2 linked regions of the Pelodiscus sinensis genome follow. Each later gene encodes a partner of the first gene's protein in a complex. Links are inferred from orthologs where the notes say so. Each region holds a gene or a part of one and is shown on either strand. Other genes may lie near its edges.

Region 1 (3,600 bases):
CACAAGAGTTCTTGTGCAAAAGTACTTGCGCAAGAGCACATCCACACTGCCAAGTGCTTTTGCACAGGAGCATCCACGCATCCATGGCAGTGTGATGCTCTCTTGCACAAGAAAGCTCTGATGGCTATTTTAGCCACAGGGCTTTCTTGCGCAAGAAACTCCTTGCCCATCCACACTGCCTTCTTGCGCAAGAACTCTTGCGCAAGAGGGCTTATTCCTCATGGAGAGAGGAATAACTCTTGTGCAAGAAGCCCTCTTTTCCGACGCTTTACTGTAAATTTACTTGAGCAAGAACACGTGTGCAGTGTAGATGCTACACAAGTTTTTGCACAAGAACAGTTGTTCTTGCGCAAAAAGCCTACAGTGTAGACGTAGCCTAGGAGTAATGGCACCATTATAAGCTAGGGAAAATGTCACGAATGACTGTCTCCATAATAGACTCAGGCCAGGTAAAGCTACCATTTCCATCCACTACATCATCTGTCTTCCTTTAGAGGGGCTGCAGCAGCAGAATAATTACAATACCTAATGTGAAGGGGATGGCGAAAGAAATAATATACTGTTACTGAATAATTCAGAATAAATTATTTAAAAGCCTGATTTGCATCAAAGAATGAACCATTAAGCATTTAAGATGTAACCTACTTTATCTCTTTCTATATCAACAAGAAGAAATAATTTGTGTCAGCCATAAAAAGAACACCTCGTTATGAAAGGCACCTGATGCTATTTTCTTATTCTAAGAAATATGTAAGGCATCTTCAATTCTTGGATTTTATTTTTTTTAAGGCCCACTATGACATAACTATAGGGCTGTTTTGGACTTTTTATGCACAATCTGGAATGAGATGCCTATGGGCAAAAGTTTGATGTTTAAAGCTTGTTATGCCTACCAGAAAACCAGAAGACAAGTATTGCAATACTTCATAACTAAAGAAATTCAGTCAAACTCCTGCCAATCTGTAGGTCCTAGGGAAAGAGGTAAAGGCCATATAAAGTGAGGAAGTGGGTTAACAAGCTAGACTTTCAAAACAGGTGCTATTATTGCTCAGTTCAGTCATTACAAAGATGTTTGATGCAATCTTTATAGGTACTAAGGGCCCAATCACTTGAACCAGATTCTGGCACATTACCTACACTGACATTTTCCTTCTCCTCCCTCTGTGGGCCATAAGTCAATTAACAGTCCTGGGGATTTCTGTGGGAGTACTTGCAGAGTAGAGCACTATCCAGTGTGAGAAAGGGTAACAGAATCAGCCCAGAATAATTTCTCAAACAAGCATTAACAGATAGATTAAACTGCCCTGCGAAGAACAAAATTTATTTGCTCTGGTAACATGGCTAGCATAAGGAGTTCTCAATACTTCATGCCTTGCTCACCACCTTGCTCAAGAACAGTAATGAATGAATGGAACATGCATAGGTCAAATACATTCATTAAAAATAGATACAGGCCAGACTAGATAAGATTTACATTTACTTGACTAGGCAGATTTTGTTTAGAAAACCTAAAATGAAAGTAGTGTAGAATCTCCGCAGGACCCACATCTGTGCACATGCACACCTGACCCAGCAAAATACATTTTTGCTCTGACCAGGGAGCGCAACAACAAACTATTAATAAAACTGGGGATGTGAAATGTACCACAGGCTGCTTTGTAAGTCGGTCTGCTGGAGTTTGAAAGACAGCAGGTTAGCTCAGTGCAGTGTGTCCTTTCCAAGAAAAAGTCAGAGCTTTCCTTCCACAGCTGACTGTAATCACCATGCCAAAGCCTAGGAAGCAGGCTGCCCTTGCTCTCCACCCCGCCACCCCCACTTTGCCAAAGTGGTGCCCATGATGGCAGCAGCAGCATTTGACCGCGAGCAGCGGCCAGAAGGACATCAGAGGGCGGGCTGCAGGACCCGGTGCTGATCGCCCCGCCAGGGCACGGTGGCCCCATGGGGTGCGCAGCGGACTACTCACACAGTGAAGTGATACACGAAGCACTTCCAGCCGGTGGGTCTCTCTAGGAAGTTATAGACCCTGCCTTGGATGTGGGTCCTGCTCAGCAGCGGGCGGCGAATGCTGTAGATGGAGACCCGAGGGTCCGGGCTGATGTGGGGCCGGGGGCAGTCCGTGTCCGTGTTCACCACCACCATCTCGCTCTTGAACGGCGGCTCGCCCCGATCCGCGTCCCGATCCGGCTCCGCGGGCGGGCTGGCATCCGGCTGCCTCGGCTCCTGGACCGCGGCCATCGGGGCGTAGTGGGCATGGGGGGTGTTTTCGGCCAGCTCCAGGGCGGAGGGCTTCTTGCTGGGAGTCATGCTGCCTTTCCGGGACGCAGGCAGCCGCCCCAAGCTCCAGCGTCTCTTCTCAGACTTGGGGGAGGCGGAGGTCATGACCGGAGGGGGAGGGAGGCGTGTGCGCGGGGAAGGAGGCGGCGGGGCAAGCCGCCGCAGGGCAGGGCAGGGCGGGATGCAGCCCCGGCGCTGCCCCGGGGAAGGAAGGCGGGAGGGACAGCCAGCCCACCGCTGGGGAGTCTCGCACGCTCCCTCCCCCGCTCCCGGAGCGCCTAGCCCGGCCCACCCCGAGGGACGGCCCCGCCGTGAAAGGTACGAGGTCTCCGCCTCCCTGCCACCCGACCCGAGGGAGGCTGCGAGCCCGGGTGGCAGCGGGAGCTGCCTGGCCCCCGGCCATTCCCCTCAGCCGCTGCGCGAGCTGCTCCGGCCGCCGGGTGGCGGCCAAGCCCGCGCCGGGCTTGCTGGGGGCTGCGCCTTTCCCCTCCCCCTTGTCAGAGCCAGTGTCAAGTCAACCCCATAGGCGCTGCCCGTTCGGGGGCTGGGACAGACAGTGCCCCGCAACATGTGGGAGGCTCCCTGCTGTGGGGCCTGGGCTGGGACAGACAGTGCCCCACAATGTGCGGGTGGCATGGCTGGCTCCTTACCATGGGGTCGGGGCTGGGACAGACAGTGCCCCACAATGCGAGGGTGGCATGGCTGGCTCCTTACCATGGGGTCGGGGCTGGGACAGACAGTGCCCCACAATGCGAGGGTGGCATGGCTGGCTCCTTACCATGGGGTCGGGGCTGGGACAGACAGTGCCCCACAATGCGAGGGTGGCATGGCTGGCTCCTTACCATGGGGTCGGGGCTGGGACAGACAGTGCCCCACAATGCGCGGGTGGCATGGCTGGCTCCTTACCATGGGGTCGGGGCTGGGACAGACAGTGCCCCACAATGCGAGGGTGGCATGGCTGGCTCCTTACCATGGGGTCGGGGCTGGGACAGACAGTGCCCCACAATGGGCGGTGGCATGGCTGGCTCCGTACCATGAGGCCGGGGATGGGACAAACAGTGCACCACAATGGACGGGTGGCATGGCTGGCTCCATACCATGAGGCCGGGGATGGGACAGACAGTGCCCCACAATGCGCGGGTGGCATGGCTGTCTCCGTGCCATGGGGCCGGGGCTGGGACAGACAATGCCCCACAATGCGCGGGTGGCATCGCTGGCTCCCTGAAGAGGGCCCAGGATGCTGCCTTAGGATGGGACCAGATCTGGGTGGCACCTCTGAGCAATACATAAGCCCTGGAAAGGGAAACGAAAGAAGCACCCCTGTCT
Region 2 (3,818 bases), on another chromosome or scaffold:
CCATACTCAGATTAGTCCTCAGGGCCCTGGGCGGGCTGCGGCTAGCAGGAGGAGTCAGCTGCCTCCCTGCAGTTCCTGCAACGGCAGGAGCTGCAGGAAAGCAGAGCAATGCAGCAACCTGCTCTGCTCCGCTGCCATCTCCCAGGCCAGTCGGGTCTCCCCGCTTCACCATGGCTCCTGCCCCTACAGTGAGTGTGGAGGGAGGAGTTGCTCAACTCCTGATAATCCCCAAGACTGCATCCCTTGCGGGGGTTGGTGGAAAGGGTACAATGCAGGGGGCAAGAGGGCAGAGCAGGAGTGGGACAGGACAGAGCAGGGGCTGAGCTCAGGGAAAGGGTGTGAATACCTCCCCTCCCCAGGGCTGCAGAGACTCACGTGCCAGCAGCTGCATGGGCCAGTGTATAGGCAAAAAGTGAAACCTCTCCGTTTTTGTGACCGTCACAGTTTCTGTCATACATACATGACATTTGGTACAACTTCTCAGGAATTGCTACCTAGTGTTTCGGTCGCTGCACTGGCTTATGGAACTACTCAGGCTGATGCATGGGCCATGGGTTTGAGACTCCTGCCCTAAGGGCTTTCAAGCTTTATTTTGTTGTTAGAGGCTTATATGGTTTTGTCACTGGAGGTCCCTTGTAACAAAGCTGGTTGGCTCATGCTGGTTCAAGTTACATATGCCCCATATAGGATTCCCATCTCCTGTAACTAAGCCATAGTCACCCAGGGCTTCCCAGTTCCTATGACGCTGCACACCGTAGCCACTTAGAACTCCCCAGGGACAGGTGAAAGTCCCGATCCCCCTGCTCCCCAATCATTAGCCCACATCACGTTGTATTAGTATTTGTACATGATGGTGCCCAGGGACTCTAATCATAGACCAGGACATCATTGCGCTAGGCACCGTATAGACACAGAATAAAACAGTCGCTGCCCCCAAAGTGCTTAAAGGAGAATCTCCATGATATTAGCAACATAAAGCTTGACACAATTGAAGGGTTCTCACTCCATCCAGTAGAGGGCAGTCCTGCATACCCTTTAGACAAGACATTCAAGAGATAACTAATAATTATTCAACCAATTCCCACCTCTACTTCAAACTTAGCAGTGCCTACTCACCTAAAGTTTTCTCTCACCTGAGGAAAAACTACCTCCCCTCTCCCTGCTAATACAAGGGTGGATCAAAAAGGCTTTCCCAGGCTCTCTCAAGAGGACGCTCAGATTTCAGGAGCCGACAATATTTTTAGCCCAAAGGTTAAAACTTTCTGTAAAGAAATGAAGCGCCTGAAGAGGGACTTTTGTCAGGACACGTTCCTTGCCCCAGTGTCAATGTCACCGACACTCACTCTGGCTTTGCATCACCCCAGGTCCAAAGCAGAGGCACTCTCCACAACACACACAGGGCCAGAACCTGCCAGTTATGACAACCTCCCCTCCACCTCCCTCCCATAACTCATAGTAGCAGGTACATGTCACCCCGGAGCAGTCTGGTTCTTCCTGAACCCCCAGCACCTCCTTCAGCAAAAGGACAATGGGGCTGGGGCACAGGGCTGTGGGGTGGGAGCTTGGGAGGATTTGGGGATGGGGGTAGGGAGTGGATGAAGGGTGAGTAAGGGCTCCTTGGCGAAAGGTGCAGGAGGGCAAGGGAGTCCCCAGGGACATGGGATTGTGGTGTTCTGGGGAAGGTGCGGGGCTGGAGGGAAAATCAAGCGATTCTCTGGCGCAGGGAGTGGGGTGAAAGGTGAATAGAGGTTCAGGGGGGTCCTATGGCACAGGATGGAGGAGTCCTGGGACGGTTTGGGGGGTCCCCAGAGCAGGGGGCCGTGGATCCCTAGGGAAAGTGATTAGGAGGTTCAGGGTGGCTGGGGTAGGGGATCAGGGAGCTCAGGGATCCCCAGGGCAGGGGCTCCCTAGGGAAGGCTCTGGGGATCCCAGGGCAGGCTCAAAGGGTCTCCGGGGCAGGGGCTCCGTGGGGAGGAGTTCAGGGGTCCCGGGAGCGAGGCGCGGGGGCTCCGTGGGGGGAGGGTGTGGGAGCCCCCGGGGTGGGGGAGGCTCGGGGGTCGCAAAGGCTCCCTAGAGAAGACACGGGGATCCCGGGGTACCTCTCGCGGCGCCTTCCAGCCCGTCCTGCTCTCCCGGCCCCGGCCGCCCGCACTCGCCCGGCTGCAGCACGTGGGGGCCGCGCTGGGAGCGGCTGCCCCGGCCCCCGCCCCGCCCCCGCCGCTGGGAGGGAGCGCAGCGTCCCGGGGCAGGGCCACCTGCTGCTGCCCCCCATCGCCTCCCGCCAGCCTCGGCCGCAGCGCCGCCCCGCCAGCCTCGGGCCACGAGTTTCTGCCCCCCCCCGGGACCCTCAGCCCTAGGGGCACCCCACACACCCGGGCCCAGGGTCCCTGCCACGTGTCCCGGGGTGAGGGGTCCCGGCCCCCTGCCAGGTCCCCCAGGCTTGGGATCCCCGCTCCTGGCTCCCTACCGTATCCCCTAGGTAAGGGGTCCCAACCCCCTCTCACATCTCCCAGGCTTGGGGTCCCCTCTCCCAGGTCACATCCCTATGCCCCCAGCCCCAGCCCCAGCTTGGCCAGAGTCATCACTCCCACGGATGCAACCGTCTAAGGGAAGTCAGGAGGAGCTGAAAGGGCTGGCCCAGCATTTCCCCCTTCTGTACTCTGAGTCTTTCCTGTTCCTCTTCCCCAAGCCAGAGCACCCCCTGCCGCTGCCTCCAGCTTTGCTGCCCTCTGACCTAGAGGGCTCTGTGACACCAGTTGCTCTTGAATGAAATGAAAGCCCCTTGTGCAGCTGGAAGTGTGATTCCCCAGAGAGCAGAGGCAGCGGCTGGGCAGCCTGCCCCTGTGCTCCTGGGCTTTGTTCCATGTCCCCCAGATCTCCTTAACCCTGGTCGGTCTGGGTTGAGAGCTGCCTGTGGGAGCCATGCTGCACGAGTGCTGTTGGCAGGGAAAGAAGAGGAGAGAATTTACAGCCCACTCCAGATGCTACTTGCCTTGCTATGGGAAGGTGCTCAGCTAGCACAGTGGTGAGCAAGGTAGGAGAAGCTTTGGAGACTATAGTGTCCCAGGTGATTCTGTGAGATTGCTTGCTGTGGTGAGTAAGGAGGGATGGTTGGTGAGGATGTGTAGTCCTTAGCAGGAAGAGGTGCGACAACTCAGCAATGGTTTCACTCCTTCTTATAGAGAAGAAGGACCCAGGTGGCAAGGCTATCATTAGGATTTATGGGGCCCTACTCAGCAGTATTAAACTAGTGCCTCTATGCCCAACATCAGCTGAGGTAGGAGCGATTTTTTAGAGATGCGATTTTATAATCTTCAGCAACACACGAATGACATAGTTTTAAAGCAAATTTTAAACGAAGATCCTGTCGACTAACACAGTAAATTCAAAAGCTTCAGGGGGTAACGGAGTTAGTCTGTAACTGGAAAAATTTAAAAAACAAATATTCTTGCAGCACCTTATAGACTAACAAAACATGTAGATGGTATTGTGAGCTTTTGCGGGCACAACCCACTTCTTCAGGTGAATGGAGTTATTAAAGATCCAGTTTCAAAATAAATAAGGGATGGGGAGAAGAGAAAGAAAAAAAAAGGAAAGAAATAGTCTATTAGAATCTCCATGCTACATGAAGCTGATAGAGAAGTTGGAAATTGTTCTTAAGTATCCATTGTTTGGTTTTTTTATGTCATTAGGACGTGGAATGTAGCGTACCATCCCACCAATGTCTTTATTCAGAACTTTGTGATATGAACAGAATTTGGGGCAAATGCCACCAGTGGGTGCAACAGTGATCTGTCTGCTCACTTTAAAATCCAATA

The links. Proteins that work in one complex are often made in the same cells at the same time.
Region 2: the proteins of KCNQ1 (region 1) and KCNE3 are in contact, whole or in part, in a cryo-EM structure (PDB 6V01), measured with the Homo sapiens proteins. The link is inferred for Pelodiscus sinensis from reciprocal best matches to the Homo sapiens genes KCNQ1 and KCNE3. Residues at the interface, in NP_000209.2 of Homo sapiens: Arg116, Pro117, Thr118, Gly119, Trp120, Cys122, Phe123, His126, Phe127, Phe130, Leu134, Leu137, Ile138, Val141, Leu142, Ile145, Gln147, Tyr148, Arg181, Met238, Val241, Asp242, Gln244, Thr247, Lys362, Asn365, Ile368; in NP_005463.1 of Homo sapiens: Asp54, Asp55, Asn56, Ser57, Tyr58, Ile61, Met65, Phe68, Ala69, Val72, Gly73, Leu75, Ile76, Leu77, Tyr79, Thr80, Arg81, Ser82, Arg83, Val85, Lys87, Asp90.

Annotation. Positions count from the first base shown.
Region 1 is NC_134714.1:115,475,630-115,479,229, forward strand, and holds the start of KCNQ1 (potassium voltage-gated channel subfamily KQT member 1), read right to left. Parts: upstream 2,518-3,600; 5' UTR 2,380-2,517; coding exon 1,964-2,379; intron 1-1,963. UniProt on the Homo sapiens protein: Pore-forming subunit of the voltage-gated potassium (Kv) channel involved in the regulation of cardiomyocyte excitability and important in normal development and functions of myocardium, inner ear, stomach and colon.
Region 2 is NC_134711.1:322,493,839-322,497,656, forward strand, and holds the start of KCNE3 (potassium voltage-gated channel subfamily E member 3), read right to left. Parts: upstream 2,310-3,818; 5' UTR 2,100-2,309; intron 1-2,099. UniProt on the Homo sapiens protein: Ancillary protein that functions as a regulatory subunit of the voltage-gated potassium (Kv) channel complex composed of pore-forming and potassium-conducting alpha subunits and of regulatory beta subunits.